Linked DNA regions of Oryctolagus cuniculus. The protein of the gene in region 3 binds, or shares a complex with, the protein of the main gene of each other region. Links are inferred from orthologs where the notes say so. Each region holds a gene or a part of one and is shown on either strand. Other genes may lie near its edges.

Evidence for each region. Proteins that work in one complex are often made in the same cells at the same time.
Region 1: EXOSC3 (region 3) and EXOSC1 share a complex: the UniProt entries of both Homo sapiens proteins name them as parts of the RNA exosome core complex. The link is inferred for Oryctolagus cuniculus from reciprocal best matches to the Homo sapiens genes EXOSC3 and EXOSC1.
Region 2: EXOSC3 (region 3) and EXOSC8 share a complex: the UniProt entries of both Homo sapiens proteins name them as parts of the RNA exosome core complex. The link is inferred for Oryctolagus cuniculus from reciprocal best matches to the Homo sapiens genes EXOSC3 and EXOSC8.
Region 4: EXOSC3 (region 3) and EXOSC6 share a complex: the UniProt entries of both Homo sapiens proteins name them as parts of the RNA exosome core complex. The link is inferred for Oryctolagus cuniculus from reciprocal best matches to the Homo sapiens genes EXOSC3 and EXOSC6.

Annotation. Positions count from the first base shown.
Region 1 is NC_091446.1:32,396,796-32,401,074, reverse strand, and holds the start of EXOSC1 (exosome complex component CSL4), read right to left. Parts: upstream 2,801-4,279; 5' UTR 2,677-2,800; coding exon 2,646-2,676; intron 2,539-2,645; coding exon 2,423-2,538; intron 1,312-2,422; coding exon 1,237-1,311; intron 1-1,236. UniProt on the Homo sapiens protein: Non-catalytic component of the RNA exosome complex which has 3'->5' exoribonuclease activity and participates in a multitude of cellular RNA processing and degradation events.
Region 2 is NC_091440.1:77,082,283-77,086,482, forward strand, and holds the start of EXOSC8 (exosome complex component RRP43), read right to left. Parts: upstream 2,801-4,200; 5' UTR 2,678-2,800; coding exon 2,661-2,677; intron 1,390-2,660; coding exon of another isoform or gene 1,374-1,389; coding exon 1,337-1,373; intron 1,139-1,336; coding exon 1,075-1,138; intron 414-1,074; coding exon 340-413; intron 1-339. Other genes in the region: ALG5 (dolichyl-phosphate beta-glucosyltransferase), read left to right, coding at 3,551-3,827. UniProt on the Homo sapiens protein: Non-catalytic component of the RNA exosome complex which has 3'->5' exoribonuclease activity and participates in a multitude of cellular RNA processing and degradation events.
Region 3 is NC_091432.1:200,611,408-200,615,564, reverse strand, and holds the start of EXOSC3 (exosome complex component RRP40), read left to right. Parts: upstream 1-1,357; 5' UTR 1,358-1,424; coding exon 1,425-1,748; intron 1,749-2,989; coding exon 2,990-3,139; intron 3,140-4,157. UniProt on the Homo sapiens protein: Non-catalytic component of the RNA exosome complex which has 3'->5' exoribonuclease activity and participates in a multitude of cellular RNA processing and degradation events.
Region 4 is NC_091449.1:56,939,808-56,942,863, forward strand, and holds EXOSC6 (exosome complex component MTR3), read left to right. Parts: upstream 1-1,385; 5' UTR 1,386-1,459; coding exon 1,460-2,275; 3' UTR 2,276-2,556; downstream 2,557-3,056. UniProt on the Homo sapiens protein: Non-catalytic component of the RNA exosome complex which has 3'->5' exoribonuclease activity and participates in a multitude of cellular RNA processing and degradation events.

The DNA of each region.
Region 1 (4,279 bases), on a different chromosome or scaffold from region 3:
TTTGGTCTGGCCTAGACCTGGCCATTGCAGCCATTTGGGGAGTGAACAAGCAGATGCAAGATCTTTTCCCATCTCTCTCTCTCTAACTCTGCCCCTTCAAATAAACAAATAAAATCTTAAAAAAAAAAAAGACTCGGCCGGCGCCGCGGCTCACTAGGCTAATCCTCCGCCTGTGGCGCCGGCACACCAGGTTCTAGTCCCAGTTGGGGCACCAGATTCTGTCCCGGTTGCCCCTCTTCCAGGCCAGCTCTCTGCTGTGGCCCGGGAGTGCAGTGGAGGATGACCCAGGTGCTTGGGCCCTGCACCCCATGGGAGACCAGGAGAAGCACCTGGCTCCTGGCTTCGGATCAGCGCTGTGCGCCGGCCGCAGCATGCTAGCTGCGGCGGCCATTGGAGGGTGAACCAACGGCAAAGGAAGACCTTTCTCTCTGTCTCTCTCTCTCACTGTCTACTCTGCCTGTCAAAAAAAAAAAAAAAAAAAAAAAGACTTTACATTTAATAGGAATTCCAGAGAATAAAGTCTTTTGCTTCTCTGCAGAAAAAGGCCGCAGCCACAGATGTTCAAAATTAGGTCTCCTTTTCACCCATTTCCTAGATGTTGGAGGGAACCACAAAGTCAGGGAATCGGCTCAAATAACTATGCATACCCAAATTTTGTTCATTTTCCTAGAAATCTCCAGACCACTCAGTCCAGTGAGACATTCTGTGATGATAGAAATACCATGTGCTGACCAAATTAGCAACCACTAGCCACAGTAGCTACTGAGAGCTGGAAATGTGGCGAGTGGTTAGTATGCTTAATGAAATGTTAGTACTGTCTAGCATATTTTGAAATATTTATTTGAGAGACAGAAAGAAAGAGAACACTTCCACCCACTGATTTATTCCTTAAGTGCCTGCAGTGGCTGAGGCTGGGAGTCAAGTACTTAATCCAGGTCTCCCACATGGTGGTAGTAGCCTAACTACTTGGGCCACCACCTGCTGCCTGCCAGAGACTGCATTAGCAGGAAACTGAAGTCAGCAGATGGAGCCAGGGATCAAACCCAAGCATTCCAACATGCGATACAGGTACTTCAACGATGTCTTAGCCGCTAGGTCATATGCTTGCCCTGACACTGTTAAATTTAAATAGCCATATGAGGCTAGTGGCTATCAGACTGGACAATGCAGTTCAAGAATGATCATGCTCTGTGCACTGGGTTGGTGTCCTAAGCATGGAGGCTGGTAACAACTTACCTTACATGTTACAATAGAGCCCACATCTGGAAGTAATTGGGATTCCGCTTCTCTCATCACAGACACTACCGGGAGCTACAAAGAGAACAGTAAAAAATGAATGTTCTGGCTAAGCCCTGAGTAAAGTGTGGCTGGAGAGTTCGACAGGAATGCTGTGGCACAGAGTTGAGGTCACAAGGCAGATGGACTATGGATTCATTTACAGTCCAGGACAGAGGGTCTTCCATTAGGAAGAGCCCCGGGGGCCCTGGCAAGGCTGCTGTAGAAGACATAAGTTAACCATTCCAGAGCAGAGTTGGTTTTTTGGTGACTTGGAATTTCTCAGTACACCACTATATTACCTGTAGCCATGGATTTGATTCTGACCTCCAAAGTCGCACTGTTTCTATTTCTTATTTTATTGCCCGGCTAACATTTCTAAGTGTTTTATAATACTGGATACTGGTTTCCTTCTATCTTTAGAGAATATCTGTAGGGCTTTCTTTCTGAGCAAGCACGTTCTAATTCTGAATCCTTTTTCTCCTGTGCTACCCATCTTTAAGCTGCTCCTTCCAAGACTGCGTATCTGATCGGGAGCTGGTCCTGGTTTGATCTCTGGAACTGGCCAGGACAACATCGCTCATGTATTCAACTGACCATCTGCCTTGTGCCGGGCACTGCAGGTAAGGTGGGTGGTGCGGCCTGCTTGCGTGGAACTTTGGGCGTTTGCAGGCTGAAACAAGTGCTCGGAAGTGAGTTTAACAAAATAAAAACAAGACTCAACCTCCCCCACCCCCACCCCCGCCAAAATCCCTTCCAAAAAGTGATACGAGAGGCTAGTTGAACGAGGTCAGAGTTACATAGACCGAGGAGAGGCGCGCGTTCAGGCGGATGGCAGGAGACACGGGGGAAGCAAGCCAACTGCACTGCGGGCAGTGCCGCCGAGCCGGATGAAGACGGACAGGTCGGGACTACTCGGGCGGGATTCGGCTGGCTGCCGGATTGGCCGGGGTCACTCTCAGCTCGCAGCTGCCCCTAGGGGTCGGCAGCCCCAACCGCGCGAGGTCCACACGACCGGTGTGCGGCGCCCACGGCCAACCGAGACCAAGTCGTTCTACAGGGACGCGCCTGCCCTACCCGGGCCTAAGGGCCGGAACTCAAGGGCAGTCCATGACAAAGAAGGGAGATGGCCAGCCGCCCCGCGTACCGCGCCGTTCTCGCTGGTCTTCGTTAGACAGCCGGCGAGGGAAGAAAAGATGTATCCGTGCCGTGTGTAGGTGCCGCTGCCTGGGCTGCCCTCCTCCAAGTTACACAGACGTTCGCCTGCGGAAAGAGCGCTGCATCGGTCACTGGTCCCCAGAGGCTGCTAGGCGTCCTGCCTTCCTGCCTCTGGCCCTAGCCGGGACTCCGTACGGGAGCCGTGCACTTACCGGGGATGCAGTACCTTACAGGTGGCGCCATGACTGCCACTGTCCCAGAGCCCGGATGGAAACGAAGCCGACGTCTCGTTGGCCGAACCCAGACACAGTGCTGCAGTAAGGAACGTGCCAATTGGCGGGCTTTGTCACGTGCCCGGCGACACGCCTCCTGCAGGGCAAACTCCATTTCCCAGGTTTCCCCGGGAGAAGGCCGGGGGCGGAACTTCGGGCTCGTGTGCCTGCGCCTGCGCCTGCGCCTAGGGTTGAGGATGGGCAGGCGGCGGGTCCGGGTCCATTGGCAGGCGCTGCGGCTGGCGGGGCATGGTGGGACGGATTGAGCCAGGCCCGCCCGGGGCGCCAGGCTGGAGTAGGTGGCAGTGAGCTGCGGCCGAGGCTGCGGGGCGTGATTTGGATGATCGAGGAATTGGCAGGCGGCAGGTAGGGGCGAAGCCGTGGCCCTTGCTCCCTCTCATAGCCCCTGTTTTGTAGGGTCGGGCCCTGCCCCAGGGCCCTGTCTTGAGTCTGGTTTCTTGCTCTCCTCGCCCCGCCCTGCAAGGCCGAGCAGTCCTCGGGCGAGGCGCACCCTCTGGGCAACCATAACGCACAGAGCAGAAGTTAACCAACCCAACTTGCCCATTTCTCAGATTTGGAAATCCAACGCCAGGGTTTGACTTGTCCCGAGCCTTGAAGATAATTCAAGATAGAGCGCAAGCCGGATCCAAGCTTTCGGCTTCCAGTGCATCGCGGTTTGACCATGCCGCCCTACCTGAAAGATAAGGCTCGTTCTGCAGCTGTAGTTGTCCGGGCCCTTCTTTAACTTTTGACGAACTGACCCGTGAGAAAGTTGCTACCCTTTCTCTTAGCGGGTTAGCCAGGAAGGGAAGTGGGCACGTGAGTAAGTTGCTATTCTTTACTGACTTCTGACATCTCTTGCATGAGCTTGCACACATCCTGAGAGCAGCATCTTTGTCTAGATGAGATTGGCACGACTTTGATATTTTTTTAAATTTATTTGACACAGAGACAGAGATCTTCCATATGCAATGGAAGCAGGATTTTTTTTTTTTTAATTAATTAATTTGAAAGGAAGACATGGAGAGGAGGAGAGAGATCTTCCATCCACTGGCTCATTCCTTAAATGGCCGCAATGGCCAGGGCTGGGCCAGCCAGGAGCCAGGAGCTTCTTCCGGGTCTCCCACGTGGGTGTAGGGACCCAAGCACTTGGGCCATCCTCTGCTACTTTCCCAGGCGCATTAGCAGGGAGCTGGAATGGAAGACTGAGAATGAGAGGCCAAGGAGGGTGTTAATCACTGCCAGACGCCTGCCCCTGACGTTGGCTGCTTCATCTCCCTTCCAGTGGCTTTGGAATCTGTCCCCTCGCCTCCCCCCATTGGTTTCCCCTTGGGAACAGATGGCGCTTTAGAGCCCTGGGAAGAGGGAGGTGCCTTGGCCTGTAGTCTCCTGTAATATGATGGCAGATGGCCACGAGAGCCTGTGGCTGCTGCTGACAGGAGGACTCCGGTTGGTGCTTGGTGCAATAGTAGAACTGCCCTTTGCTCTGTTCCCTTCTCTCTGCACTGAGATTGCCCCTTCCTCAGACGCACATGATGTTTGGAATTTTGCTTCGCCTCGGGGGAGAAGTCCAT
Region 2 (4,200 bases), on a different chromosome or scaffold from region 3:
TCAATTTTCTACACATTTATGCAGATTACATACCATCACTCACTATTAAAAGGCATCACCAAACACTTCCCTCAATTTCTTAACTGATATATTATTTAAAATTAAGGATGAGGATTGAAAAAGTTGCTTCATTTTAGTACATTTGACAGATTTGCGTAAGAGTCATTAAACTTGAGTCATATGATCTAGTACTCACTGGTAAAAGCTTTTTGAGCAACTAAATACTAAAAAACATACCTGAATGCCTAATCACAGAGGTATAGGTGTATATTACAATTTAATAAATACAGGAAGCTAATTTGGTAGCTCAAATCTCAATGGGACACATGTTAAACTTACTGCTTTAATTCCACAAATTACTGTAGTATTTCCCAGCTTCACTAAAGCAGAACCATCTGCAGTACTAATTGAACCTGAAAAGTAAACAGAATGATTAGTCTCTAAAAGGAAAAGTTACAGAATTACCTAAATAAGTATTAAAACTCTGTGTCTCATGTTTGCCATGTGTAATTATCTTGCTACGTATCTGTTGCTTGCAAAAACTGATTCCAAGTTTGAATAACTGATTTTAAAATGGTATAACAAATTAAATTAATGTTTTTAGAATTATTCACCTATCCTTGAATTTGAATCAATTTTTCAGTCTGAATAGTACAGAAAATCATTGGCCAGCGCCACGGCTCAATAGGCTAATCCTCCACCTGCGGCACCGGCACACTGGGTTCTAGTCCCGGCTGCCCCTCTTCCAGGCCAGCTCTCTGCTGTGGCCCGGGAAGGCAGTGGAGGATGGCCCAAGTCCTTGAGCCCTGCACGCGCATGGGAGACCAGGAGAAGCACCTGGCTCCTGGCTTCGCATTAGTACGGTGCACTGGCCGCAGTGGCCATTTGAGGGTGAACCAACGGCAAAGGAAGACCTTTCTCTCTGTCTCTCTCTCTCACTGTCCACTCTGCCTGTCAAAAAAAAAAAAAAAAATCCCTCGGATATGATAAATTTGGCTCAAAAACCATGTATGTGGTTCAGAAGGCTAAAACTTGCAAATGTCATACAGTTGTAGCTGGAAAACACATCCTCACCTATATTAACGGTTGTGGTTCTGAATTCACCAAGTTCTCTTCCATCAGGGCGACAATTCTCTTTCTAAATAGAAAGTTTACTTATAAGAGATTATGTTATATTGTCATGTGTATTTTACACACACCAGGGGAGACACATTAAACCCCATTAATGCAAATGAATTTAAATTACTTGGAATATGTCTTTAAAAGAATATTACATATTATATATACTGTAATAATATATTATCAAAATAGCACATACATAACCACCTTTACTCACCAGAAATCTTCTGTAATACTCCAAAGGTTCCACAGTTCTGAAACACGTTAATACTGAAGTAAATTAATGAGTCTTAACTGGCAAAGAATTTTAAAATGTGATACAGCATAAACCTCCACAACTTGTAACTAAGTTTCTTTTGCGCATTTTGATGTTCATGTTGCTGCCTGCAAGTATGGGGGAATCTTCAAAAAGTTTTAAAAAAAGTGTGTATTAGAAAAACTACATGGATTTCAAAATTTGGAGCATGAAAATAAATTTTTCTTTTATTTTCCATGAACCTTTTGAAGTAACCTTGTAATTATAAAAAGTATATACCCTTACAGTAGCAATCACACCCCATTGCTGCCTTTAACTGTCTTAAACAAACAGAGCACTGGAATCCAGAGTCCTTTGACATGTCTGAAAGAGGATTAATTTATGAGTTAAAATAATCATTTAATAATCACTTTTGCTCTGAGACAGGGATTCTTAACCTAGTGATCATGAAAAAAGCCACATCTTCATTTATTGTAACTGAAATTCAGCATACACTTTAGCATAGAGTTCAGTTATGACTGCAAACATGCAATAAACCATTATAATAACAGCAGTACCTACAACTTTAGCAGAGATAATGTTCTGATTTTTTACTTTCATGTGCATGTTGAGGTTCATCTTTACTCTGAAATTCCCGGAGTTACTGGACGCCCTACTACTTAAGAAAGCTAATTTTATATCCTAAAGAGTTTATAATAACTTCAATATGATTTGTTTCCTTTGGAACCCAGGGGCTGGCTCAAGTACTTGGGTTCCTGCCACCCACGTGGGAAACCTGGAGGGGACTGTCCAGCTCCCAGCTTCAGACATCTGAGGAGTGGACCAGAGGATGGATAGCTCTATCCATATGTCTCCCAAGTGAAAAAAAAAAAAAAAAAAACCTTAGAAAACATCTTACTCGGAGAGTCAATAGGCTTCAACAGAATAGCACCCAAAAAAGGCTTGAAGTCAAACCTTTTGAAGGACGCACAACCCTCGGAAACACACTACGCGACCCGGAGGACCGGGCACAGGGGGCTCGATGCAACAATCTTTGCGGGGCTACAGAACTGTCCCCCGGGTGCGCGTTCCCTGCACCGCGGGCTCACACGCGCTCCAGTCCCTACATCCCCAGTCTCCACTCAGGGGCACCTCCAGGTCCTCCCGCCTGTCGCCTGCTTTGGCGGGGAAAAAAACGGGACCTTGGCGGGGTCGACTTCCAGGCGAGAAAAATCTTAACTAAGGGTTGGGGAAACCCCCAAGCGCCAGAGTCCACAACTCGGGCCCGCCAGACACTGACACTCACTTGAACCCGGCCGCCATCTTCCCCGCGCGCGCGCCTGCGCCTGCGCCGCTCCGCCCACCGGCACGCGCGCCTGCGCAGAGCTCTCACGTCCCGGCGGTCGCCGGGGCCTTCCCGCAGCCGCTGGAGGTGCGCTTGGCGGCGCGGTATCGTGGTGGCGCTCGCTTGGCCTTGGCCTTCCCGAGCCGGATGCGCCTCTAGGTTTCCTTGCCTTGCACGTATTTTGACGAATCTGGCATCAGAGAAGTGAAAGGGTGTTCTTTAGGAAAGGTTGAGGGTTCAGAATAACGCCAGCAGTTTAAGAGACAACAGCTTATACCAAGGGCTGCACAGTGCGTGCGCAGCTCCCGTGTCTCTTCCCCATCTCAGGCGAGGCCCAGGTGAGGGGCTGCCAGCTCCTGCACCTCGGAAATGCGTGCTGCTCTCCAGGTTACACTGTGCAAGCCCAGGAGCTGGAGCAGTGTGCGTTAATCCACCATGTCCTGCCTCCCAGGCAGGGTTGCCAGGTCCAGTACAGGCCACCCAACTAAATCTGAATGAAGATTGGGAAAACAAGGTTGACCATTCTAGTAGGAGTGCATGTCCTTAGTTGTCAGTAGGAGCTGGGATGAACAGGGCAAGTTTTAGCTATAGACATGGTTGCACAGAGTTCCGAAGGTAATCAACACCACTCTACTGTGCACTCCACATGGTTAAAACGGCCAAATCTGTTTAACCTGAATTTTAAAATAGTAATAGAACCCATACCTCTAAATGCGTGGACTGCACCGTATGCGAGTTACATAGTTCAAGGCCGTTAAAATTATTAGTTGTTGAGCTGAAACTCAAGCGGACGTCTCGTGCACCTGACTTACCGAACGCAGCTCGCCCTGCAGTCTGCGGCCTCTCCGCGGATGCAGCGCCTGGCCCAGCCGCGCGGCGCGTCCTCGCCGTCGGCGCCTGCCCGGGTCGCGGCCGGCCGTGGCCGCGCGGGGGCGCTGTGGGCGGAGGGCGCCCGGCCGCCGCGGCCTCTCTGGCGGCGGGAGGCGGGCCCGCGCGGGCGCACTTCCGCGTGTGTGGAGCTGCGGGATAGGGAGGGCGGCGGAGACGGCCCCGGCATGGAGGATGGCTCCGCTCCTGCTGCAGCTGGCGGTGCTCGGCGTGGCGCTTGCGGCCGCAGCACTCATACTGGTGAGGACAGGGGTCGGGAGCGGCGCGGGCCTGGGCTCCCCGTTCCCCTGCAGCCGCAGGCGCCCAGGGCGTCCGCTCTTTGGGTGCTGCGGCTTCTTGAACTAGTCCGTTTTCTCCCCGCTTGACTCCAGTTCCATCTCCTGGATTTCAGTTCCTCCTGTCCTTGGAACTCTGTGCCCGGGACCCTGTAAACTTTGCCACGTTGGACTCACCAACCCATACACTCGTCCCGGCCTTGCTCGCCCCCTGGTCCGAGACCCCCTGCCCACCCAGCTTGCCAGCCTCGACCTATGCTTCCATCTTCCAGACTTGCTTTTCCTGCACCTGCAGCCTCTGCAGTTCTGCCCTCACCCCACCCCGAGGGCGTTTGGAC
Region 3 (4,157 bases):
GACTCAAGAAGTCGGAAGATTGGAAGCCCTGAAGTACCTGTACGAGGTGTTTGGTTTCTCACGTGGGCATCAAAAGTGTGCTCTTGGTAAGGTAGCTGTAGGAATTTAACTCAGTTACTGATTTTCCCAGGCATGCAGAGATAATATGTGAATGCGATGTGTATTTTTGCAGGGTGAAAAGTCTAGGGGCAAATGTGTGTCACAGTATTACTATATTCATTTACTTATCAGGCATTGTTTCTTTTTTTCTTTTTTTTTGACAGGGAGAGTGGACAGTGAGAGAGAGAGACAGAGAGAAAGGTCTTCCTTTTGCCATTGGTTCACCCTCCAATGGCCGCCGCTGCCGGCGCACCGCGCTGATCCGAAGCCAAGAGCCAGGTGCCAGGTGCTTCTCCTGGTCTCCCATGGGGTGCAGGGCCCAAGCACTTGGGCCATCCTCCACTGCACTCCCTGGCCACAGCAGAGAGCTGGACTGGAAGAGGAGCAGCTGGGACAGAATCCGGCGCCCGGACCGGGACTAGAACCTGGAGTGCCGGCGCCGCAGGCGGAGGATTAGCCTAGTGAGCCTCGGCGCCGGCCCAGGCATTGTTTCATACCAGACCTTGGGCTACAATCAGAACTAGAGTGGTCGGCATGGAAGAGCACACAAACAGGCAAGACCAATACGTTTTCTTCTCTAGTTACAATCAAGGTGTTTTTTTTTTTTATGATTTATTTTATTTATTTAAAAGGCAGAGTTACAGAGCGACAGAGCTCTTCCACCTCCTGGTTCACTCCCCAAATGGCCTCCAAGGCAGGGGCTGAGCCAGACCCAAGCCAGGAGCCTGGAGCTTCATCCAGATCTCCCAGGCGGATGCAGGAACCCGAGGATTTGGACCATCCTCTGCTGCTTTCCCAGGTGAGCAGGGAGCTGGATGGGAAGTGGAGCAGCCGGCACTCGAACCACAGCAGCCTTACCCACTAGGCCACAACGCAGGTCCCCAAGAAGTTTTACTTTGAAGAAAAAGTACTTTTCCTGGTAAAGGTCAGCACACTTCTGAAGGTAGCGTCCGAAAAGAGCCCCACAAAGTAGTTTCCAAAGTCCCTCTGTTCAGCTCCCGTAATTCTCCAGGGATCCTATGAGAAGTATCTTGTAGTCCAGGGGTGCGACCGGAAGTGCAGGCTTCTCCAGTGGACTCAAGCTGGGCGTGGCTCACTGCCGACCCGCGGGCAGACCACGAGGCAGGTGCTCGGGTCCTGACACAATCACAGCCGCCTTGGGCGAGGAGCACCCGCCTGCTGGCAGAGACCCGGCTTCGCAGACTTGGGTGCAAGGCCAAACGACAGCCACGGCCGGAAGCGGAAATCCGGCCGTGGGCTGGCTGCTCCACTCGGAGACGGAAGCGGAAGTTGGGTACCGGAAGCAGTGTTTAGTGACGCCTACTATGGCTGAATCTGCGCCTGTCACAGCTGAGTCTCTCGCGGGCAGCGGGGCGCGGGCGGCGTGCACGGTTCTGAACCAGGTGGTGCTCCCAGGAGAGGAGCTGCTGCTGCCGGAACAGGAGGACGCAGACGGCGCTGGCGGGGCCGGGGAGCGGCCGTTACGCCTGAATGCCGGGGTGTGCTCGCGCGTGCGCGTGGTGTGCGGCCCGGGCTTGCGGCGCTCTGGCGATCGTCTTCTGGTCACCAAGTGCGGCCTCCTCCGCCACAAGGAGCCCAGCAGTGGCAGTGGCGGTGGCGTTTACTGGGTGGACTCGCAACAGAAGCGGGTGAGCTGGGATCCCGGGGGGGACGGGGAGGTGGGGGCGCGGCCGTGAGCATGGAAGAAGCCGCCGTGGGGCCTTGCAGTGTTAAGGCGGAGGGTGGGGGCGCTGCCGTGAGCGTGGAAGAGGCCGCCGAGGGGTCTTCCTGTGTTAGGGCGGGGGGTGGGGGCGCGGCCGTGAGCGTGGAAGAGGCCGCCGTGGGGCCTTGCAGTGTTAAGGCGGGGGGTGGGGGCGCGGCTGTGAGCGTGGAAGGGGCCGCCGAGGGGCCTTGTGTTAAGTCAGGGGTGGGGGGCGCGGCCGTGGTGCCTTGCTGCGTTAAGGCTGATTTGGAACCACCGTAGTGCAGGGCCCACCTCAGCAGCCACTGTATGTAGGACCATGAACAGTAGGGATGCAGCCTGACAGAGGCCTCTGGAGACTGAATCATGGTTATTGTCATTAAAATCCCAGTGGTTTTGGAACAGCAGGCTTGACCTTTGGCGTCCCAGCGAGCAGAACCAGGCTCAATGAGTGGCAGTTACAGGGAGTTAAATCGCTCTTAGGTGAGAACTTTCCTGGTAGGAAAAAGTGTCTAACAATGGAATGTGCTTTCCTGGTTCTAAGGATTCCAGTGCCACTGGACTTGGATGCAGCAGAAGCTAGGGACTTACTGGTAAATACTGGCTCAAATGAATAGAAGCTGTAGGGGCCACTTGTGGTGCAGCAGGTTAACGCCCTGGTCTGAAGCACCGGCATCCCTTATGGGCGCCCATTCGAGTCCCGGCTGCTCCTCTTCTGATCCAGCTCTTTGCTATGGCCTGGGAAAGCAGTAGAAGATGGCCCAAGTCATTGGGCCCCTGCACCTACATGGGAGACCTGGAGGAAGCTCCAGGCTCCTGGTTTTGGATCGGCGCAGCTCTGGCTGCTGTGGCCAACTGGGGAGTGACCCATCGGATGGAAGACCTCTCTCCCCCTTTCCCCCTCTTCCTCTATCCTCCTCTCTCCTTTCTGTGTAACTCTGATTCTCAAATAAAAATAAATAAATCTTTAAAAAAATGAATAGAAGCTGTAAATCTGAGAGTTTATACTGTGATCTCTCTTTTACTGAAAATGGCATATAATCAAACTTGTATGGGTTAACTTGTAAACTTGCATTTCGGAATATTTAAAATTATCTCTTTAATGACAACAACTAAGGCTAACTTGCTGGAGATATCTTGCAATGATAGCTTGCCATTTATGGCTGTTCTCTCAATTCTGTTTTGTAGTATGTTCCAGTGAAAGGAGACCACGTGATTGGCATAGTGACGGCTAAGTCTGGAGATATATTCAAAGTTGACGTTGGAGGGAGTGAGCCAGCTTCTTTGTCTTACTTGGCATTTGAAGGTGCAACGAAAAGAAACAGACCTAATGTGCAGGTAATGATGGCGCCTTTGACCCCTAGGACGTTCATTTATCCAGCAGCTGCCTGACCTGTCTCCAGAGCCTGGCCATTCTCCCAGCTGTGCGGGATCATCTCTGAGTGTTCGGGCTCTCAGAGTTCCTTCAGAGTCTGCAGGAGCAGAGGCACACACTTGGTTTATATTTGTGACGTTGGTTCCTGGGAGGCTTCACCTTGGAGGGGAGAGGTTCTGTTTTCTCCGCTGTTACCTGTTAGGTCCGTATCCACTGGCCAAGGTCAGGCACAGCCTTAGAGAGGGGGAAGGACAGGTGGTGCAGATCAGCAGCAGCTGTCTGTTCGCCCTGCAGAGGAGTCATCTTCTTACCTAAAGTTTGCAATTGGCCTTCTCAGGTCGCATAGCCACACCCTTCCTGTCTACCCAAGCCAGGAACTTGGTGGCTTCTTTGCCCTTTCACCTCTAGTCACTAGTTGCTTAATCCTATTTTGAGCCTACCTCCATCCCTTTGTCTCCACTTTGCAAGTTCAGGCCTTAAACCCCCGCCCCCACAACTGAAGTCAGTGAGTGATCCTATTAACTCCTTTACCTCCACCCTTTTACCCCATCCATAGAGGCTTTGGGGAGCTGATATCCCCTTTCTCAGACTAAAAGGAAGATTCTTCAAAGCCTGCAGAATTCCTCAGCGTTACCTCCTTCACAGCGTGCGTGAATCACACCATACTCTACTGAACTCAGTTTCCTGCCCGTGTATCTTGCTTGGGTCATTCAGGTTGTTCCCTGTCGGGATTGCACAGGCTCATCCTTTGGGATCTGGGGTGAACAGGACCATCTTTGTGAAGGCATTGCCAGTCATCACTTTTTTATCTTTGCTTTAGCACTTAACTGAATTTGGCCTCGAATGAAATCTAATCTGTGCATCCCAGCTGCACTCCAAGACCAAATGCTTCTGAAAGGCAGACAGTGTTTTGTTCCTCTCTAGGAACGTGGTCACTGACAAAAAGTAGATATTTAATGTTTCCTTGAGTGAACAGAACAG
Region 4 (3,056 bases), on a different chromosome or scaffold from region 3:
TCTAGAACCACTGGCCCAGGATCGCTGTCTACCTGTGTCAAGTTCACATCCAGAAATGCAGTTCTTTGCTGACCCGAGGCTTCTGGGTCTGCAGGTGGGCACTTGTGCTGCAGAGAATAAAGGACCATGTGCAATACTCATTGATGCCTTCTGGTCATTACCTCCCAGCATGCACCCCTGCTGACAGCTCTTGGCTACCCGAGGGTGTGTAAAACATGCTGACTCCAGCTCAGTCCAGCCCTAAACCCTTGAACTCAGTGTTTGTGGAGACGGGGGTGAGATGGAGAGAGAGGCTCTAATAATTCAGTGGTCCGAGGGGTTACAAAGCAAAGGTGCGCCTGGAGAACCTCCATTGTTTTTTTCTTTTAAAGATTGATTGATTTGAAGGGCAGAGTTACAGAAAAGCAGAGAGAGAGAGGTCTTCCATCCACTGGTTCACTACCCAAAGGGCTGCAGTGGCCGGAGCTGTGCTGATCCGAAGCCAGGAGCTTCCTCCAGGTCTCCCACGCGTGTGCAGGGGCCCAAGCACTTGGGCCATCTTCCACTGCTTTCCCAGGCCATAGCAGAGAGCTGGATTGGAGCAGCTGGTCTCAAACTGGTGCTCACATCGGATGCCAGCCCTGCAGGCGGCGGCTCTGGCTCATGTCCCTCCCCTCCCTCTGAAGCTCTTCATGTGGGGTCAGGGTATGAGGCTGGAGGGCAGTCTCTGGTACAGAAGATGTTTAAGGTGCAGCTATTGCCTCCTACTCTAGTGTCTGCCCATCACTCCCACTTGACCCAAAGACACTGGCCGGTCTCTGAGTCCAGTTTCCCCAAGTCTAAAATGGCAGAGTTTGGAAGGTGAAGGTACTGCTTGCCTGTGCCAGCCCCAACGGATGTCCTGTCCTCTGGATACAGCGGCTGGCCCCAGAGCCCAGGTCACGGTGCTGCTGACAGTGGAGGGAGAAGGAAAAGCAGGTGCATGCTGGGGTGAGGGGCGGTTCTCAGGGTGGGAAGGGGAGGCAGAAAGGGGGTGTTGATGTCCGTGTTAATGATACAAAGAGACTTACATAAAGCCAGTGCTGGAGAGAGATTCCATCCATCATATAGGCCTTCGTGCCAGCCAGGGGCTTGGGAGTGAGCAAGGCCAACTCCCCGGTGGGGACATATAAAATAGTCCCACAGATTAGTGCAAAACTAAGATAACTACAGCCTGCATAAGTGAGAAGACTAAGCGCTCGGGTAGGACCTGGCCTGGGAGACAGTCAACCGGCCCGTCCAGCCCTGGGCAACCTTGCTGCGGCTTCAAAGCCTTGGCGCCGCAGCCGTTCTCCCTCCACGGCGCCAGGGGGCAGTGCAGCCGCGACTGCCTGCGGCTCTCCCGACAGCCCCCGCGCGAGCGCGCGTCTTCAAGCGGGCGGAAGAGCCGGAGCGCGCGGTAGGACGACGGGCGGAAGCGGTGTGCTCGCCAGGTGCCGCCATGCCCGGGGACCACCGCCGCATCCGCGGACCAGACGAGTCGCAGCCGCCGCAGCTGTACGCCGCCGACGAGGAAGAGGAGCCCGCCGCCCGAGACCCGACGCGGCTGCGGCCGGTGTACGCGCGCGCCGGGCTGCTGAGCCAGGCCAAGGGCTCGGCCTACCTGGAGGCGGGAGGCACCAAGGTGCTGTGCGCCGTGTCGGGCCCACGCCAGGTCGAGGGCAGCGAGCGAGGGAGCGGCCCTGCCGGCGCCGGCGGCGAGGCCCCGGCCGCGCTGCGCGGCCGCCTGGTCTGCGATTTCCGCCGTGCGCCTTTCTCGGGCCGCCGGCGCCGGGCGCCTCCGGGCGGCGGCGAGGAGCGCGAGCTGGCCCTGGCGTTGCAGGAGGCGCTGGAGCCGGCCGTGCGCCTGAGCCGCTACCCGCGCGCGCAGCTCGAGGTGTCGGCGCTGCTGCTGGAGGACGGCGGCTCGGCGCTGGCCGCCGCCCTCACGGCCGCCGCCCTCGCCCTGGCCGACGCGGGCGTCGAGATGTACGACCTGGTGGTGGGCTGCGGCCTGAGCCGCGCGCAGGGGCCCACGCCCGCCTGGCTGCTGGACCCGACGCGGCTGGAGGAGGAGCGCGCCGCCGCCGGCCTCACCGTGGCCCTCATGCCGGTGCTCAACCAGGTGGCCGGGCTGCTGGGCAGCGGGGAGGGCGACGCGACCGAGACTTGGGCCGAAGCCGTGCGGCTGGGCCTCGAGGGCTGCCAGCGACTCTACCCGGTGCTGCAGCAGTGCCTGGTGCGGGCCGCCCGCCGCAGGGGCGCCGCCCTGCCCTGAGCCGGCGGGCGAAGTGGAGCCGCGAGCGGACAGAGCGTGCGGAGATGGACAGTTGCGTTGGAACGGCTGTCGACAGACGAACGTTTGACGATCTTTCCAGTCCCCAGCCAGAAGCCAGCGCAGGAAGCCGCGGGCTGCTTGCTTACTCCCGAGCTGGGAAGGACTTGAGCCGGCCTGGTCCGGAGCGCGGGATCTGTGTGACTCCGGAGACGATGGACAGGGCGCTGCGCCTTCTCACAGCGGGACTGAAACAACAAAACCGTTTTTTTTTGTATTCGAAATACGCGTGTCGTGGTTCTTAGTACAGGATTTTCAGAGAGAGCAAGGCTCCCTGGCGGTGAGGCTCAGGACAGCACTGCCCCGCCTGTGTCGTGTCCCTTGGACCGGTGAGCCGACCAGACGGGCCAGAATCCTGAAGCAGCTGCGGGTTTAGAAGTGGGCCGTGTGCTTGGCAGGAAGACACGCCGCCGCCTCCGGTGCCCGTGAGGGCGGCTGCTGCGCCGGGAGGAGAGTTGGACGGCCCGGGAGCACTCGGGGGTCCCGGAGCTCATGGCTGTGCCGCGAGAGGCCCCAGCGCAGGGTTCCCGAGAGCTGGAAAGGGTTTTGCTGGGGGTGGAAGCCGGATCCCAGCCTTCCGTGGCCAGGGCCACAGCAGTCCAGTCAAAGGCCTGCACTGCCGCTGAGTGGGCCCCTGGGCTGCCTTCATCTGCCCGTTGTCCAGCCTGAGCCCCTGGGGAGAGGGCGGGTGAACTGGCTTCTGGGAAAGCAGAGGAGCATGGCT